Xenopus tropicalis: one gene and its partners. The protein of the gene in region 1 interacts with the protein of each later gene in a pairwise test. Links are inferred from orthologs where the notes say so. Each region holds a gene or a part of one and is shown in the gene's direction. Other genes may lie near its edges.

The links. The genes of interacting proteins can lie anywhere in the genome.
Region 2: the proteins of cul3 (region 1) and shkbp1 interact in binary tests that used the Homo sapiens proteins (3 or more experiments, as listed by UniProt). The link is inferred for Xenopus tropicalis from reciprocal best matches to the Homo sapiens genes CUL3 and SHKBP1.
Region 3: the proteins of cul3 (region 1) and zmat4 interact in binary tests that used the Homo sapiens proteins (3 or more experiments, as listed by UniProt). The two-hybrid records come from large-scale screens. The link is inferred for Xenopus tropicalis from reciprocal best matches to the Homo sapiens genes CUL3 and ZMAT4.

What each region holds. Positions count from the first base shown.
Region 1 is NC_030681.2:123,778,901-123,784,826, forward strand, and holds the start of cul3 (cullin-3), read left to right. Parts: upstream 1-2,305; 5' UTR 2,306-2,489; coding exon 2,490-2,555; intron 2,556-5,926. UniProt on the Homo sapiens protein: Core component of multiple cullin-RING-based BCR (BTB-CUL3-RBX1) E3 ubiquitin-protein ligase complexes which mediate the ubiquitination and subsequent proteasomal degradation of target proteins.
Region 2 is NC_030684.2:78,043,758-78,049,890, reverse strand, and holds the start of shkbp1 (SH3KBP1-binding protein 1), read left to right. Parts: upstream 1-2,204; 5' UTR 2,205-2,618; coding exon 2,619-2,677; intron 2,678-2,757; exon of another isoform or gene 2,758-2,829; coding exon of another isoform or gene 2,830-2,834; intron 2,835-4,152; coding exon 4,153-4,206; intron 4,207-4,864; coding exon 4,865-4,910; intron 4,911-5,136; coding exon 5,137-5,210; intron 5,211-5,297; coding exon 5,298-5,356; intron 5,357-5,433; coding exon 5,434-5,514; intron 5,515-5,880; coding exon 5,881-6,051; intron 6,052-6,133.
Region 3 is NC_030683.2:33,355,254-33,361,131, forward strand, and holds the start of zmat4 (zinc finger matrin-type protein 4), read left to right. Parts: upstream 1-1,949; 5' UTR 1,950-1,961; coding exon 1,962-2,042; intron 2,043-5,878.

The sequences.
Region 1 (5,926 bases):
TTGGAAGGCAATGATTGGAAGCTGCAGATGTATTAACTACAATCAGTGAAGCCCTCTTCATGATTTTTCATATGATCTTGTAACCTTACCATATGCTGCATTTCCATTATGACAGGACATGTAAAAAGGAAATCCAAGGTACAAAAATAATTGCTCTTCCAGCCAGTATTGTCATGGTGACCATTGTAGTGGCAGTGACCATCGCTGTTTCACAAACCTTCTACAATAAATTCTCATGTTTAAGTAAGCTTTTCTGGTGTCTTTGAACTGCTTTTTACTGCTCTAGGACCAGAGATTCCAAACCTATACCCAAAGTGTTCCAGGTACATCTTGGCCTTGCCCCTCTTCTGCCCTGGCCCCACCCTCCGCCACGTTCCCTAGTTCGGACAACAGTGGAGCACACTGGGTGATGATTTTATAAATTTCAATACTGCTGGTGAGTTAAAATTTGGGTGCAATTTACAGTTGGTGATGAACCTGTTACTGTGGGTGACTGGATAAGGGGGCATAAATCTGGATGACTCCTGAAAAATACAGGTGATTTGACATGTCTGCAGTACACACCTACACAAATATAAAAATGGCCATTTACACAAGTGCAAGGAGACCAAGGGGTGCAAACCACACCTACATGAAGCTACTGGGGGCATCTTTGTATTTACAGATCTTTACAGCTAATGGGCTGGGGTGGTCTATGGTTGGTGGAGAAACCCAAAACATAAAGCAGCATTTGTAGCCTGTTTATTGCTTTTTAGGTATACTTTGCTGTTTTCAGAGAATCCATGGTGTGTCAGTGGATCTTTTGTTATCAATTTACTGTTTGGAGTGCAACGCAGGAAATGCCAGAAAAGAGTTGATTAAACTCTCACCTCAATGACTTCAGTCATTTACACAGGAGAAAGGTGTGCTAAATATCTTATGCCCCCCAAGCCTTTAAAGAGACATTTCCATTGTATACAGTTCCACAACCAGCAGGCAGTTCTTCATGGTCTAACAGCTTCCCTGTTTTAGTTACAAGTCTATTAAAAGAGGCAAATAAACATTAAACCCACATCTCACTCTTACTTGCCTTCAGGCTTGGCTTCCAAACACCATAACAAGGTTATATAACAGAAATGTACAAGCATTGGGTTAATAATCACCCTGCTAAAGCTCCAGATCAATTAAACACTCACCCCGGATTTTACTCTCTGGTCTTTAGGCTGCCCCCCTTAGCTTAATAACAAGGTCCCACAAAAACTGGATGGCCTTAATTATTTTCATGATGGTGCACTATAGTGACAAATTATTATATTATGAGTATTATTATATTAAAGGAACAGTAACACCAAAAAAATTAAAAGTTTTTTAACATAAATATAATGTACTGTTGCCCTGCAGTTGTAAAACTGGTGTTTGCTACAGTAACACTACTATAGTTTATATAAATAAGCTGCTGTGTAACCACGGGGGCAGACGTTCAAGCTGATAAAAGAAAGAAAACGCACCGGTTACATAGCAGATAAGCTGTGTAGAATATAATGGGGGTTTATCTGTTATCTGCTAAGTAACCTGTGCCTTTTCTGCTTTGAATGGCTGCCCCCATGGCTACACAGCTGCATTCCTTATATAAACTATAGCAGTGTTTCTGGGGCAAACACACCAGTTGTACCAGTGCAGGGCAACAGTACATTATATTGGAAATGCTTTTATACAATGTTTTGGAATTTCTGTTTCTTGGGAGAGTGGGCATCTTAACATGAGTCTAGCCAAACTAACGTTAATTAAGTCAAAATCAATCTATTTCTTTAATATTGCATGTTTACTTGAAGCTACTTAGTAACCCTATCCATACACCTACGGTAGGTGTGACAAATTCGTTGTATGGCTAGGGTTCCCGGGTTCCAGACGGTACACATTAGTGTCTATATACGCATTACCACCTAAAGAAGCATAAGTGACGACAGGCGTTTTGTATATATACGGAACGCGTCAGCCTCCACGTACGAACTGCGCTCAGAGCGTCACATGACGTCACTTGTCAACGTTCCACGGATTACGTCGCTGTCGCCGGAGCCTGCGCAGCAATGTATGCGCGATGTAATAAAGTTTATTGAGACGAGGTAGGGCTGCGGCTTAGTGACAGCGCTCCGACCGGGGGTGGGAGGAAATGAATGGAAGGGGCGGGGCTGGGTATGGAAGGGCGGGGCTTGTTTGAACTCTCGCGACACACACCCCATTCCCAGGCTCCTCCCCTCGCCGGCCTTGCTGGGAAAGGGATGTTTGTCCGCCATCGCGGAGGAGTTTAGTCAGCGCTGGGTGTTAGGGCGTTCGTATAGTTTTAGACCCCCCTGCAGCCCCGGGGGCCGCATTGAAGGGAGACCAGACTGCCGTAAAGGAGCTCCCGCCGGGTCGCTGACAGGCCGGGCCCGGGGCCTCCTCACACCTACACCCGCCGGGGGGAGACAAGGAGGGGCCCCGGGGCCGAGTGTGAGCGAACAGCCGCCAACATGTCGAACCTAGGGAAAAGCACCGGCAGCCGGAAGGATACCAAGATGAGGATCCGAGCCTTCCCGGTGAGACTCATAGGATACTTGTGGGCAAATCCCCGGGGGCCACATATGGATGGCAGTGTAAATACAGGAGGCGGGCTATAAGTGTCACTAGCTGTGACATCCAACCTATCATCCTGTAGCTCCTCTTCTACCGGATATCCCAGCATCCTCTCCGAGCCAAGTGCAGAGCTGCTAGTGTTTGTGCACAGGTAGCACTGCATTGTAAACATTGGCTGCAATGTGCTTCCAATAAAGGCTCTGTGAGCTGTATGTATGGCATGGAAAGCCCATTGCCTCTGTACAGCTGTGCTAGCTGTGACTGGATCATTTCATCTAGCTGCCTGACATCTGTATGGCCATGAGTATGGGATGCCCAAATTCACACATTATTTATACTAAACTACTACTCCCAGTATCATCTGACAGCGAGCCCCATTGCAGTTTACCATATAGATGTGTATCATGAGCCCCCACTTAAATAAACTAGACAGGGATACCCAAGTAGCCATCCTATAGCCAATACATGGAGCATATCAATGCCAGCTGGAGTTGTGCTTCAGCAGGTGGGCTGCATTAGTTGCCCTGACCTGTACAAATGCATGAGGCCGCTTGCCAAAAGATATATAGACTTGAGTTAATAAAAAGCAGTTCCACCCCAAAACATATTAATAAATGAAGAAGTCATTGTTAGAAACTTGCCATTAGGGTGAAGACACATGGAGCAACTTAGTAGCAGCTACTAGTCATGGCTAATACATGTAAATGTAAATGATCAGCATTGTCTGTTTCTGTAGCCATGACAAGTGGCTGCTACTAGTAGGTCTGTGTGTCTTCACCCTTATAGTTTTCTGTTGTTTATAAGGGTGAAGACACATGGAGCTAATAGCTGTTACTTGTCACGGCTACAACAATAGACAATGCTGATTATTTACCGATACATGTCTCTACGTGTGGTTTAGCAGAGGCAATTCTCAGTATTGTCTATGGCAGAGTATTTTCTGGCATTTACTAGCCATGACAAGTAGCTGCTACTTAGTAACTCATTGTGTTTTCACCCTAAGCTTTTTTTAATCTTGGTTAAAAGTAGTATTTGTTAAGTCCTTTGTGTAGCCTAGTTCTGACTCTTGAACAATGTAGCAGAAGTCTGTTTTCCAGGTCTTTTAATCAACTACTTTCTGTTGAATTATTTCAGGTGTCCAGCAGAGGAAAGAATATAAACTGAAATAGAAAATACTTTACAAACGCAGAAAAAAATTTAATATTGGAAAGTTGCCTCAAAATATAGTTATACAAAAAGCTGTTTGTTTTTTTTTTGGGCATATTTCCACTTTAATAATGTGTACTTAGTTCAGGACTTATGCAGTATATAAACAAGTATTGTACATCCCAGGTAACAGCATATTACAAGTTAGTCATTTATTTCCCTGTTATGTTCTTCTTAAAACCAAAAATTGCTTGGATGAATATGTATATTCTAAGCATGTAAAATATATATGCATTATCCCAGCAGATCATCCACTGTTCTCTGACAGTGTTTCCACAGCTCCTTGTAGCTGCACTGATGGGCAGTGTAGCTACGGAGTGTAAATCAGACTGAGAAATGCAAAAGCCTACATTTTCAGGCTGTTCTTTGCTTGGTGTAGCTGCACTTGGTGGATACACTGGCTGTCACCATAACATTAGCAGTCAGTAAATAGACATTCAGGTTAGAAGATTTGTATGGAATGCAGTAGTGATTTCCTGCCATTTGTTGTTGGTCACTGATCTATGGTTTCGCCAAAGAGAGTGGAGTATTATCCAGTCTGGTGAATATCCCTACACATAAAGATATGCACAGTTATGTATAATGCCGCTTTACAGTCATTCTAATCAGAAGCCAAAACAATGCTGATGGTGGGAAACTGCAGTCCATGCATTTGGCACCTATTGCCTCACTCGCTGTGGACCCTTTACCTGGATAGTCAGGCAGTGAACTCCTTGGGGCATTTTTGTAATGGCCTTCCCAGCCCAATCTGTCCCTCAGATGTCACCTGGGGACACAGGTATAAAGGCATAACATTCTGAGTACATGCTTCCAGTGTTAACTTGGTGTGCAGAGACCTGAGAGTTTATATTGATTTCAGATTTGGAGCTGCTCTTATAGCAGCAAGGTTGTAAATTGGTTGTTAGATGAAGGAAAGGTATTTAATCCTGATCTGCTCATGAAGATATGGGAATGCCAGTGCACACTAAACTAGGCAGTGCACCTGTATGCATGCTTAAAAGAACATTGTACTGGCAGTTCTACAATTAGTGATTCATACACACAGTTGGCAGGCAGTCTCACTGAGCTAAGCAAGCAAGAGAGTTTCCATTCTAAATCTATATCTTGGTGAAGCCAGCCAATTACCTGTTGCCTGAACGTTCATTTACTGTTTATTTAAATGTTTATTTAACATTTAAATTATTTTTGGTATGACTTTGTAGCAGACCAAAGGTATGGTGATCCAAATTATGGAAGAACCTTATCCAGGAAACTCCAGATTCTGTGCAGGTTATATCTTGGTGAAGCCAACAAATTGCATTCTTCCTGTTGCCTGAAAGTTACAAACAGCATAATTTATAATCATGTATAATTTTATCAGTTGTTTATAACTTACAAATTCTATAATACTTTTGTTTTGCTTCCACCACTGATATAATGAAACTGATTGCCTTACTGTGCACTTTTTAGATTAAAGCTGCATGACTATGTCATTTGATTGGCCCAGTTTGTATTTTCTAGAATTGGTACTTAATAATTACATGTATATGACATCTGGAAACCAAATATAGACAGAAGAATCAGATCTTTGTGGACTAGGTAAACTAGAACTGTGCATAGGTTTTAAAGAGTAAGTCCAGGACAATTTTCTGCTTTAATCATTGCTTTATTCACATGTGCAGGAAAAGTTCATAACTCGCTTTATTGATGTCCACACTTGAGGCACATAAAAGTTTGTTTGCACAGCCAAGAGCAGTCTATCTGTATATATTTTATATTTCACATTCATAAGTAAACAGTGATATTTATGTGCTAATAGTGAACCCCTGCGCTTATGACTTTTGAGAAAATATGTTTAACATACAGTTATGATGATCCAGCTATTCAGCCATCTAACCAACCTGTTGGGCCAGAATCCCTTAAAATAGCTGATTGTGGCCTTAAGCTGGTTGTGCTTATGTATGTATATTAAAGGAACAGTAACACCAAAAAATGAAAGTGTATAAAATTAACTAAAATATAATGTGCTGCTGCCCTGCACTGGTAAAAGTTGTGTGTTTACTTCAGAAAGTCTACTATAATTTATATAAGTAAGCTGCTGTGTAGCCATGGGGGCAGCCATTCAAAGGAGAAAAGGCACAGGCACATA
Region 2 (6,133 bases), on another chromosome or scaffold:
CCCTAAATGAAAATAGCGCATAAGGATTTCTCGCCTGCCAGCTCAGCTTTTGCACACAGAGCCCCCTGTCAGTGTATTATGTGCCAAAACTTCCCCTAACTATACAGATCCCCCACAAAACCATATATTTTTGGAAAGTACACATTCTGACAAATCCAACAAGGGTAAAGAGTCCTTTCTACACCAAAGTACCAATCTGCAGAGCTTTCCTAAAGTTATTGGTTTTTATGACATTTCAGAAAATTGCCTAAAAATGTTGCAATTTGTCGCATTTATCTCACACAATTTCTTGCGTACAAAGGCAAGTCACCCCAAATAGGAACACCAGAGGCCTACTGAACAGTTTGATGCCCAATATGCATAGATATACCAAAGTCTGCAGTATGTACCGAACCCTAAATGAAAATAGCGCATAAGGATTTCTCACCTGCCAGCTCAGCTTTTGCACACAGAGCCCCCTGTCAGTGTATTATGTGCCAAAACTTCCCCTAACTATACAGAGACCCCCACAAAACCATATATTTTTGGAAAGTACACATTCTGACAAATCCAACAAGGGTAAAGAGTCCTTTCTACACCAAAGTACCAAGCCGCAAAGCTTTCCTAAAGTTATCGGTTTTTATGAGATTTCAGAAAATCGCCTAAAAATGTTGCAATTTGCCGCATTTATCTCACACAATTTCTTGCGTACAAAGGCAAGTCACCCCAAATAGGAACACCAGAGGTCTACTGAACAGATTGATGCCCAATATGCATAGATATACCAAAGTCTGCGGTATGTACTGAACCCTAAATGAAAATAGCGCATAAGGATTTCTCGCCTGCCAGCTCAGCTTTTGCACACAGAGCCCCCTGTCAGTGTATTATGTGCAGTAACCCCCCCCTAACTATACAGTGACCCCCAGAAAACCATATATTTTTGGAAAGTACACATTCTGATGAATTCAAAATAGGTAAAGTTATTTTTGTACACCAAAGTTACACCTGGCAAAGCTACGCTAAAAACAGATCAGGAACACTTATATAGGGATAAAATGTGATAAAACCACAAAAATTGTGCAAATCAGTGAAACAACAAAATAAGTTACATGACAGTGTAATTAGTGGCCAGAATATCTGATCCAATAGTTACGCTGTCAAAATAAACAGTTTTTAGGTAAAAGAAAATAAAAACAAAGTGGTAAAATGAAAAAAAAAAAAAAAAAAAAGCAAAACAAAAAAAAACCAAAGTGTTTGTGTATACATGTGTGTACATGTGTAAAAGTTGTGTGATAGTGTGTAAGTGTGTATATGAGTGTAAATAAGTGTATAAAAGTGTGAAAAATGAAAAAAAAAAAAAAAAATAAAATAAAAAAATGCTAAAATGTGTGCTGTAAGTGTGTGTACATGCCGCCGCTGCAGAGGGCAGCGCTTAAACGCCAACGACGTATGAGACACGTCGTTGGCGTTTAAGCCCTTTTACTGCCAGCACGTATGCCATACGTGCTTGGCAGTAAAAGAGTTAAAAGGTGTGAAAAATACAGGGGATTACATTTTTAAACAATACAGGGGGATTACAGCCTGACTCTGAGGTGAGAACCATGCAGGGGGCCAGTTAATCCCAGTACTGATACCATTTAATGCTTACACAAAGGTAAGCCATCAAAGCAGCCAGACAGGTGGGGGGCCACACAGAGGGGGGTCGCGGGCCGCCAGTTGGACAGCACTGGTTTAGGATATGACTAGGCATTCACTAGTAAATTCGATGATATAGCTAATATTATATATTTCAGTTATTAGGTATGCAAGAGAATATTTGTGAAATGAAGTAAAACATTATATTGTTTATTATATTTATTCTACAGATAGCTCTGGGTCCTGATTAATTACTGAATGCGGAGAAAGCAGAAGCAAAGGTAACTGAAGACTAGAGGGCCTGCCCTATGTTCCCTCTAACTACTACTTGGCTCTGCGTTAAAAACAAAAGTTTACACTTTTTAAAACCATGTGTGCAGTGCTTGTGCACTGGTCTCAACATTAGTGTATGTGTAGAGAGAACAATACTGGGGACACAAAGGGTTGAAAGTTTAACACCACCGACATACCCAGTGTTGGCAGGGTAGTCACGAAGCAAAGACCCCCAGCTGGGAGGGGCTTAGCAAAAGGTGCGCCGTGATTTAAAATACGAGCATGCTGTGAGGGTCTAATGAACCCAAGCCCCTCCTTTAACCCTTTAATCCATCTCCGGGCCGTTCAGTGCTAGGGGTGCAGGTGGAAAAGCTTAAAAACCGTTTTCTTTTGCTAATTGTTATATACTTCTGGAAAAGGACAGCGCGCTATAAAATTCTTTCCGACGCCTCATTTTGTGAAGCTTTTTTTCGGTATTAATTCGACGTCTGGACTGCACTTTACCTTGTGTGCTTAGCACAGACAGACGATGGACGCGAATAAAAATCAATAGCTATACAAAGTAAACGATAAGGAACGGAGCAGACACAAAGGCGAATGAAAAAAAGGAAGGGGCAGGATTAATCTGCTGAACTTGTGAGCCAATGAGCTGAGGGAACGTCACTCGGGCGAAGTGTCCGGTGTTGCCGGAAGCATGGCTGCCTAGTGAGGAGAGAAAGGGATAGCCGGGCATGGAAGGGCTTGAGGGCTGCAGTGGGGATGTGATACACCTCAATGTGGGGGGAAAGAGGTGAGTTATTAGCTAGTACGCATGCGTTTGTAACGCTAAATGATAAGCGGATTGTGTTCAATGTTGTGAGGAGAACTTATGGACGGGAGAGTGTTATTGAGTGGCATCCTGTTTGCATACTCAGTTGTAGTGTGCTTCACGCATTGTATAGGATGGGGTGGGTACTGTGAATCAGTGCCTGGTTGCCGGTGTGTAATTAGGTGCTCTTAGGTGGCATGTTCCTTGCTATTTGTGTATCCCTTTCTGGTGCAGTGATGGGGCGTGTGTGGGAGAGAACGTGTCATTAGAGGTGTGAGGAAAGTCTGCCTTAGTGTGGCTGTATGGATGTAAATCTTTTTATAAAGTGCTACTTATCTAAGCCAAGCTGTGCACTAGAATAGATTAATACAACAGGGGGTTATTAAAATAATAGATAAATACAAAGTTTAACAAGAAATACAAATAAATACAAGGTACATTTAAATACAAGGGACAAGAGACAAGAGGATGGAGGTCACTTTTAATGAGCCTGAAAGTGTGCAGAGACATGTATCTAAACAGGAATGGAAGAGTTAAACTATTGATGACACTGAGGGGGACATTCATCAAAGTACGCGTTTCAATCCCGAAATGGGAAAAATTCAGATACAATAATTTCTGATGATCGCAAATATCACGAAAATGCTTACGAAAAAATCAGAATAGTCACGATAATATGGGTGGGAAAACCTTTCTGACTTTGATCCTTCTGTGCATGATTTTGGAAGCCTCCCATAGGAATGAATGACACTCTGAAGCTCGAACCTGGGCCAAGGAAAGTCACGATACCGAAGCTTGAATGAATCAGAAAATTTTGTACTCGGCGCGAAAATACGATTTTGTTGCAAATGTACGAAAAAGTCACACAAAGTACGAAAAAGTAGCAGAAAATATGCACAGTACAACCAAATACAAATGTTTTGTATTTCGTACCTGTCGTACTTTGATAAATGTGCCCCTGTTGAGTTGGGATTGGTTTTTTTTTCTGGAGGGGACATGAATGCTCTTTACAAATACATTAAATGGCATAGACAGATAGCAGGGGATCTTTTGATCTTTTCTGTTGGGGGAAGAAAAAAAAAAGTACTAAAGGCCACCCCTTTAAATTTGAGGAACTGAACAAGATCTATCCAAGGCTACAGGTGTAGGTGTCATTATATATTTAAGTGTATCTGTAGGTCTGTATAGGTTTATGTATATATAATTATGCATATACATTGAGGGTGGAGGGGTTGAATTTAGTGCGCGCTTGTTGTATGTGTGTGTGGTTTAAGTATGTAACAAACTGGCCAACAGTATGAATCTAAGTGAACTTGAGAATAAATATTCTTTATTTTAAATGGAATTAATGAATGGCAGCCATATGATAACACTTTTAGAAATGGGAATTGCACATACTTTGAATGTTTAATTCTGTGTCACAGGTCTTATGGCAATCATACATTTTTTAATTGTAGGTTCAGTACCTCCAGACGGACCCTGACGTGGGCATCTGAATCTTTCTTTTCAAGGTCAGTATAAAATTGTTGAAAGATGAAGAAAAATAGTTTTTAAGCAATTTATTGATTGTACAGGAATACAGTTCAACTTTCACACAGTTAAAGAATAATTAATGTAAAACTTGTTAAAGGGGAGAGGGTGTCAAGCATTTGACTCAATACCTTAGCTTTGGGTTATGAATTTCCATCATGGCCCTATTTGAAGCTAGCACTTACCTATATACCCATAGAAAACGAAGTGTTGATATTCTTAGTAAGGGTGTTATCTAAATAATGGAGCAGATGCTTTAGGATAGAATCCTTTGAAATGGGTTGGCTCATTTAAGGAAAGATAAAAGCAGTTATTCAGCTAAGTAATGACAAGTGTCTAGTTATAATATAGGCAGTACAGATAGGGACTCATGGCTCTGTGGAGCCTAAAGCCAAGAGGCATACATTCTTAAAGTTTGGGATAAGTGTCAAAGCTCAAAAAAGTTGTCTTTTTCTTGTGCCATAATCAACACATATCTGAAGGAACAAAATGGACATCCTTTTAGAAAGTTCAAAATCCTTTACATCACAGTCAACCATGTAGAATGTCAAAGAAATGTAACAATTTGAAAGCAGATTTACTGCATTACTGACAAAATACAAATGAAAAGCAAAATATTGTCTTTTTTTATTCCTCCAGCCTCCTGAGTGGTCGCATCCCTACTTTGAAAGATGAAACTGGGGCTGTGAGTTTTATTTATGTATTTTCTTTCTCATTGCACTTTTAACAAAATTCATCTATATAACTAGATCTATTGTAATATTTGCTTCAAACAGTTACTCTATCTAGTAGTGTGTTTTATAGGGACACCATGCACAATGAATACAAAGTTTGGAAGTAAAGCTTTTTTTATTTTTTTTTTTGAATATGGTTGTCAATTTTAATCTCCTCTGTTACAAATGCCATTTCAGATTTTCATAGATCGAGACCCTACAGTCTTTGGTCCAATATTAAACTTTCTCCGCACCAAAGAACTTGATAACAGGTTGGAATTCTACAGGCTTTTATCTAGTGTGTTAGTGGGATTACATCCCCTTTTTCCTCACTTGTCTTTTATTCATATTCTTTCTAGAGGTGTGAAAAGTTCTGTCCTGCTGCATGAAGCAGAATTTTATGGCATTACTCCACTAGGTAATTCTAGGTTACTCTTTCACTTTACTTTGCCATTTAGTGGTACTCGTTATTAACTATATATTTCCCATTCTCAGTCAGGCGTTTGCAGCTGTGTGAGGAGTTGGAACGCTCCTCTTGTGGCAGTGTCTTGTTCAATGGATACTTGCATGCACCAAGTAAGTTATGTTATATTGATTAACTGAAGGCAGATTGTCAGAACTACCTTAAGGTGGCCATACACTGGCAGATTTTAGCTGCCAATTTGGGTCCTTAAGACTGACTCTGCAGCTTATCTGCCTGTGGATGGGGCCCTCCAGCAAGCCTCCCTAATAATTGGGCAGGCTTAATTTTTCGTTGGATCAGGGACTGCATTGACTCACTGGCGCAGTCCTCGCTCCAACTTTTCCTTTCCCCTTCATTGCAATGCAATTGGTTGGCTTTTGCCAAACTAGCAAATCTTACAAATGTTTACTGTTACCAGTGACCTTTTATATTTATAAGAAACACCTTATTCACTGAAACCTTTTATTCCCTTTATTCAGTTTTTCCTGCTAAAAGGAGGAATCGGCACAGTGTTTCTGGTCTGCAGGTCAACTCCAGAAGTGGATTTAATGAGCGGGCTCCTGTACGAAGGAGTAACACAATGCCTCCCAACCTAGGTGGAGCTGGTCTCCTGGGGCGTTTGATAGAAGACCGATGCTTTGGAAATGGAGGTTGGGTGTATCTGACTTACTTTTATGTTCAATAATACTTCTTATTTATTGCGTTCAAATATACTATAATTGTTGCTTGTTT
Region 3 (5,878 bases), on another chromosome or scaffold:
GGTCTCTTTACAAAACAAATCCATAATTGTTGGTTCAAGAATAAAATTTTAAATGTTAGAGTGAATTATTTGCTATGTAAACAGTGTAATTTAGAAATAAAAGGTAAACCATAAAAATCATGACAGAATCCACTTAAAGTTACTTGCATCAAAATGTGCTCTCCGCCACTCAGTCCCTTATACTTTCTGTTCTGAATTGGGCGCTACTGTGCCTATTGACGCAGGGGACCCTGTATCTACCGCCACCTCCTGACCAGGCAGTAGCTTCAGGGTTCCCTTCACACCCAGCATCAATAGGTCCACTTTCACCTAAAGAATCAGGTGGAGATGCTACTTGCATGCTGAACACCAGAAATGACATAGGCATCTTCCACTCAGTTGCATCTGAACTGCAACAAAATGTACAAGCAGTTTGCGTTAACTTAGGCAAATTGGATCAAACTGCATTAGGCATATCACAATGACACTGGAATTCTGTTGGGGAAAACATTGCAGTATGGAAAGAAAACATGGCAATTACAATTGAAATTGCACTTTGCTCGCTGCACTTGCAGACGTAAATGAGCCCTATAAAGTGTAGTCAGTTGTCAGAGAAAGTTATCCCTACTGCAATTACTCAGTTACTAGTGTTGCTTTTCTCCCTGAGCTGCCAGAGGTGAATATACAATGACGTGACATTGAGCTTCTTACACTTTTCCTACCTACAACTGGTACATTACTAGGGGCCAGTGTGTGTGTGTGTGTGTCTGGAATTAGTCCTGCTCAGACCCCCTAAAAATAATTTTGCTGACACCTGAAGTTAATAAAGCATGGGCTGAATGTTTTTTTGCCATTATGTTGCCTACATAGAGCTTATACTGAATGAGGCAAATGGATCAGCAATGCAAAACCATCTGCTGGTGGAAACTGGCACTGCATCCTGCATCCTGGCTCAGCCTCTGTGCTTCCTGACCTACAGCCTCCCCCAACCACTGCCCTGAATCCTTCTCTGTACATTTGCAAGTAGTTACATACATATACACACATACACTCTCTCTCGCGATGTATATATATATATATATATATATATATATATATATATATATATATATATATATATATATATATATATATATTTATGTAGAAAGAAGTCCAAAGGGTGAACACCATTACTAGGAGTAATAAACCGTTAATGTTGTTGTATTTACATATTTGTTTGACAATTCTTTAAATCATAGAAATATAATTTTTTTTTAAAAATAAAAAACTGTTATCAATGCTTATGCCAGAATGGAACATATGGAACATCTTCCAAAAAACTGAAATGGTCATGTCCCACAACCAGCAACAATATCTGATAACCTTAAATGATCCATCTGCAGTAGGTATTTACTTTAGGATGCTACATATATTGCACATCAGTGCATCAGTGACAGAGCTGAAAAAAACACAAATGTATTTATTTTTTATTTAGATAAAATCTAGAAAAATATTTATATATAGTCAAAGTATTGCTGTTCATAATATAAGTAGTGCATGCTATGTAGGAAGCTGCTAATAATAAGGCACTGAGTGTATCTGAGTGTAATTTTATCTTAATCAGGATGTCCCCATTTGCCACCTAAATGAGGGGGGGACAGCAGTGAGTAAGTAGAAGAGGACTTGTACATTGCTAGGGGCCCAGCTGTAGGTTCCAACCTACAAAAGGGATGTGAGTGAGATGCAGTAGCTCAGAGTTACAGTAGTGGAGCCCTCAGAGCTACAGCCTGTGTGTTTGTGTATGGCAGAGGGTACAGCAGAGTAGTGTCATTCCTACTATAGACACAGACACACTCACACACACACACACTCACACACACACACACACACATGCTGTACAGGCAGCTCACCTTGTGAGAATCAATCCCATCAGCTCGGAGCCCTGTGACAGTGCAAGGAGGGCTCAGGCAGCAGCCGGCACATAGGATACTAAAGGGGCTTGGATGTATTCGGCTTGTGCCGGGAAACACATCGCAGAAGAGAGGCAGATCTGGATCGGGGCAGCAGGCACACAGCTCCTTGAGGTAAGTTCCCTGCCCGTATGGGGAACCATTGTTTGGGACAGAGCACAAGCAGGGGCAGCGGCAGCAGCATCCCGTATAGCTCTCTATGGAGCAGCAGCATCCCGTATAGCTCTCTATGGAGCAGCAGCATCCCGTATAGCTCTCTATGGAGCAGCAGCATCCCGTAGCTCTCTATGGAGCAGCAGCATCCCGTAGCTCTCTATGGAGCAGCAGCATCCCGTATAGCTCTCTATGGAGCAGCAGTATCCCGGAGCTCTCTATGGAGCAGCAGCATCCCGTAGCTCTCTATGGAGCAGCAGCATCCCGTATAGCTCTCTATGGAGCAGCAGTATCCCGGAGCTCTCTATGGAGCAGCTCCCCATACAGTCCTACACATTTCTCCCTAGGGGGAGGCAAATGAGAATCGAAGTGATGCTAGTGATGCTTCTAGTTATCCTAGAAATGACCCTGGAGTCTGGAGACGAGCTCCACAGTATGAATAAATAGATCGCGGCACTTCTGTAGCAGTCACTCTGCACGGAGCACCAAGAGATACGCAGTAGCTGCGATTTAGTTGTGTCGGTCACTGGGCACAACGTCCCAAGGTTAAAACCCTCTCGGCGTGTTTGGGATCGCTCCTTGGCAACTCGCTGCTCTCATTGGGCTGTTGGTCCTTTCAGCACCACAAGTGCCGGACAGTTCCTGCAAGGGGCTCAGTATCTGCGTCTGTTATTGCGCTCAGCGGCGTCTCCGAGTTCCCTTTATGGGATCTCATAGGGTGTCAGTGTTCCCTTTATGGGATACAGGATCAGGTCCCTTTATGGGATACAGGATCGGTTCCCTTTATGGGATCTCATAGGGTGTCAGTGTTCCCTTTATGGGATCTCATAGGGTGTCAGTGTTCCCTTTATGGGATACAGGATCAGGTCCCTTTATGGGATACAGGATCGGTTCCCTTTATGGGATCTCATAGGGTGTCAGTGTTCTCTTTATGGGATACAGGATCTCATAGGGTGTCAGTGTTCTCTTTATGGGATACAGGATCTCATAGGGTGTCAGTGTTCTCTTTATGGGATACAGGATCTCAGTGTTCTCTTTATGGGATACAGGATCTCATAGGGTGTCAGTGTTCTCTTTATGGGATACAGGATCTCATAGGGTGTCAGTGTTCTCTTTATGGGATACAGGATCTCATAGGGTGTCAGTGTTCTCTTTATGGGATACGGGATCAGTTCCCTTTATGGGATACAGGATCTCATAAGGTGTCAGTGTTCTCTTTATGGGATACAGGATCTCATAGGGTGTCAGTGTTCTCTTTATGGGATACAGGATCTCATAGGGTGTCAGTGTTCTCTTTATGGGATACGGGATCAGTTCCCTTTATGGGATACAGGATCTCATAAGGTGTCAGTGTTCTCTTTATGGGATACAGGATCTCATAGGGTGTCAGTGTTCTCTTTATGGGATACGGGATCAGTTCCCTTTATGGGATACAGGATCTCATAGGGTGTCAGTGTTCTCTTTATGGGATACAGGATCTCATAGGGTGTCAGTGTTCTCTTTATGGGATACAGGATCTCAGTGTTCTCTTTATGGGATACAGGATCTCATAGGGTGTCAGTGTTCTCTTTATGGGATACAGGATCTCATAGGGTGTCAGTGTTCTCTTTATGGGATACAGGATCTCATAGGGTGTCAGTGTTCTCTTTATGGGATACGGGATCAGTTCCCTTTATGGGATACAGGATCTCATAGGGTGTCAGTGTTCTCTTTATGGGATACAGGATCAGGGTTCACTTTATAGGATACAGGAGGGTTGATTCACTAAAGGTCGATAAAACGTGCTTTATTTATAGTGTGCGTTAAAAATTTTATTGCGTCTAATTTTTCACGAATTAGCGCAGGATTCACTAAAAGCATACTTGTGTTAATTTACACGCGATGCTGCTTGCGTTATTTTAGTCATGAAGACTATTATCGTGCGGTATTTGACGGAACATGTGCTAATCAACGCACCGCGTACAAATAATCGCCGTGTGCAAGAAAACGCACGCCATGTTAGCCATACATGCCATTACTTTCGGAAAATTACTGTACTGAAAATGCCCATTTCCCTGCAAACTGGCGGCTGCATCACTCTAGGGGCAACACAGACTTGAATAAACCCAACTGCAAAGTCCATATTTTATTGCCAAAAGCTCATTAACTGTACTTTTCTATAATTACCGCCTGCCTCAAGTAGGTGTTAATTTTCGCACAGACAAATGCGATATTTAGCTCGTCTAAGTGTTTGTGAATCATGTGTTAGTGTTATTTCGGCGCACGGTAGTGCAAAATTTAACGCATGCGATATGCAATTTAACGCATGTGTTAATACTTTAGAGAATCGCGCTTTTTTTTCTGCGTCAATTTTAACTAAAAAAAGCATGCGATAAAACTTATCAACCTTTAGTGAATCAGCCCTAGGATCTCTGAGTTCCCTTTATGGGATACAGGAAAGGGTGTTTGCAAAATGGGACACACTGCTTGCTGTCACTGCCTCCTTATCCCCAGCTAAACAGGTTTGGCCATGCTGACTATTTATGCAGGAGCAACTGAAACAAATGCTTATATTAAAACAGGTGACTGCTTTGTGCTTATTGTGTTTGGAAATAATATGTAAAATGATCTGGTTGGCTGAAAATTGGTCGTCCGCACAGGGGAACATTTTCTGTGTGAACTGTATCATTTAACAGCCAGGTTTGAAATGCACCCAGTGGATTTGTCAGACTCTAAATGCCATGTAGAGAGATGCACGCAGCTGACTAATTAAAGTTGGAACACACACGTGGCTCTGCCCAGCCTTGGAACACTTATTACTCTTACAAGCTTCATTTTTATTTTGGTGCATGTTTTATTTGTATAATTAGCACTGAGACAGCAGCCACAAACTCTGCCCATCCTGAATAACATGTTAGTGTTCCCTGATCAATCAAGTCCCCTTAAATACAGGCTACAAGTTACACAACATAGGCAGGGGCTGACCATTCCATGGATTGTACACATGAACACTTGCTAACAGGCTGAAAGGTCTCTTACATACAGGTGTTTGCAGTATGATGATATAGCATGTTATCATTATTTGCATTAGTGGGTGTGAATGTTGGATATGTTTGTGACCACAGTATCAAATCTTTTATCCACATGCCTTTATCATTGGATAGAATCAGCTCATAGCTTATAATAATGGTTACATCTCTGGCAATTGAAGGGTTTGGGAATATAAAACTGTGGAACTATAATACAAATAAACATGACATGCATTCTGCAAGTTTATGCAGTGAATCCCTCTCATTACAAGGGGAATGATTTAATGTCTTTACCAGTTATTTTTGCTTATATGTCCTGTGCTGTTGAATAGACAGCAGTTTTCTGATTGGATAGAATGCTGTTTTGGCTTTTTATTTACACATGGGGAAGAGCAGTAGCCCATGATTCACTATGCTATTTATGACATGGTCTTCTCTGGCTTGAAACTATAAGCAATTTGATTATTAATTATTCAACCATACTTTAAAGGGCCTTTTCTAATCTGTAAGCTTGTTTTAAATGAAGTTGACTTGTTATGGGTTAAATGTATGTGGTATGATGGGAACTGTAGAGCAGAGCTGTGCTGCCTTTAGGGAAATGGTTCCCAGTGTGTGTGGCTAAAACGAACACTTCCTTTTAAGCAGCAAACCTGTATGAATCTTACATCTGAGGGGTTAAATGCCATTGGTTGGGCCTCAGGGTTAACATTTCATATGTAAAAACAAAACGTTTTCCTTTTTCATTTTCCCAGGGGCTACTTGTAAAGCTGGGGTGATGGGAAAAAGTCC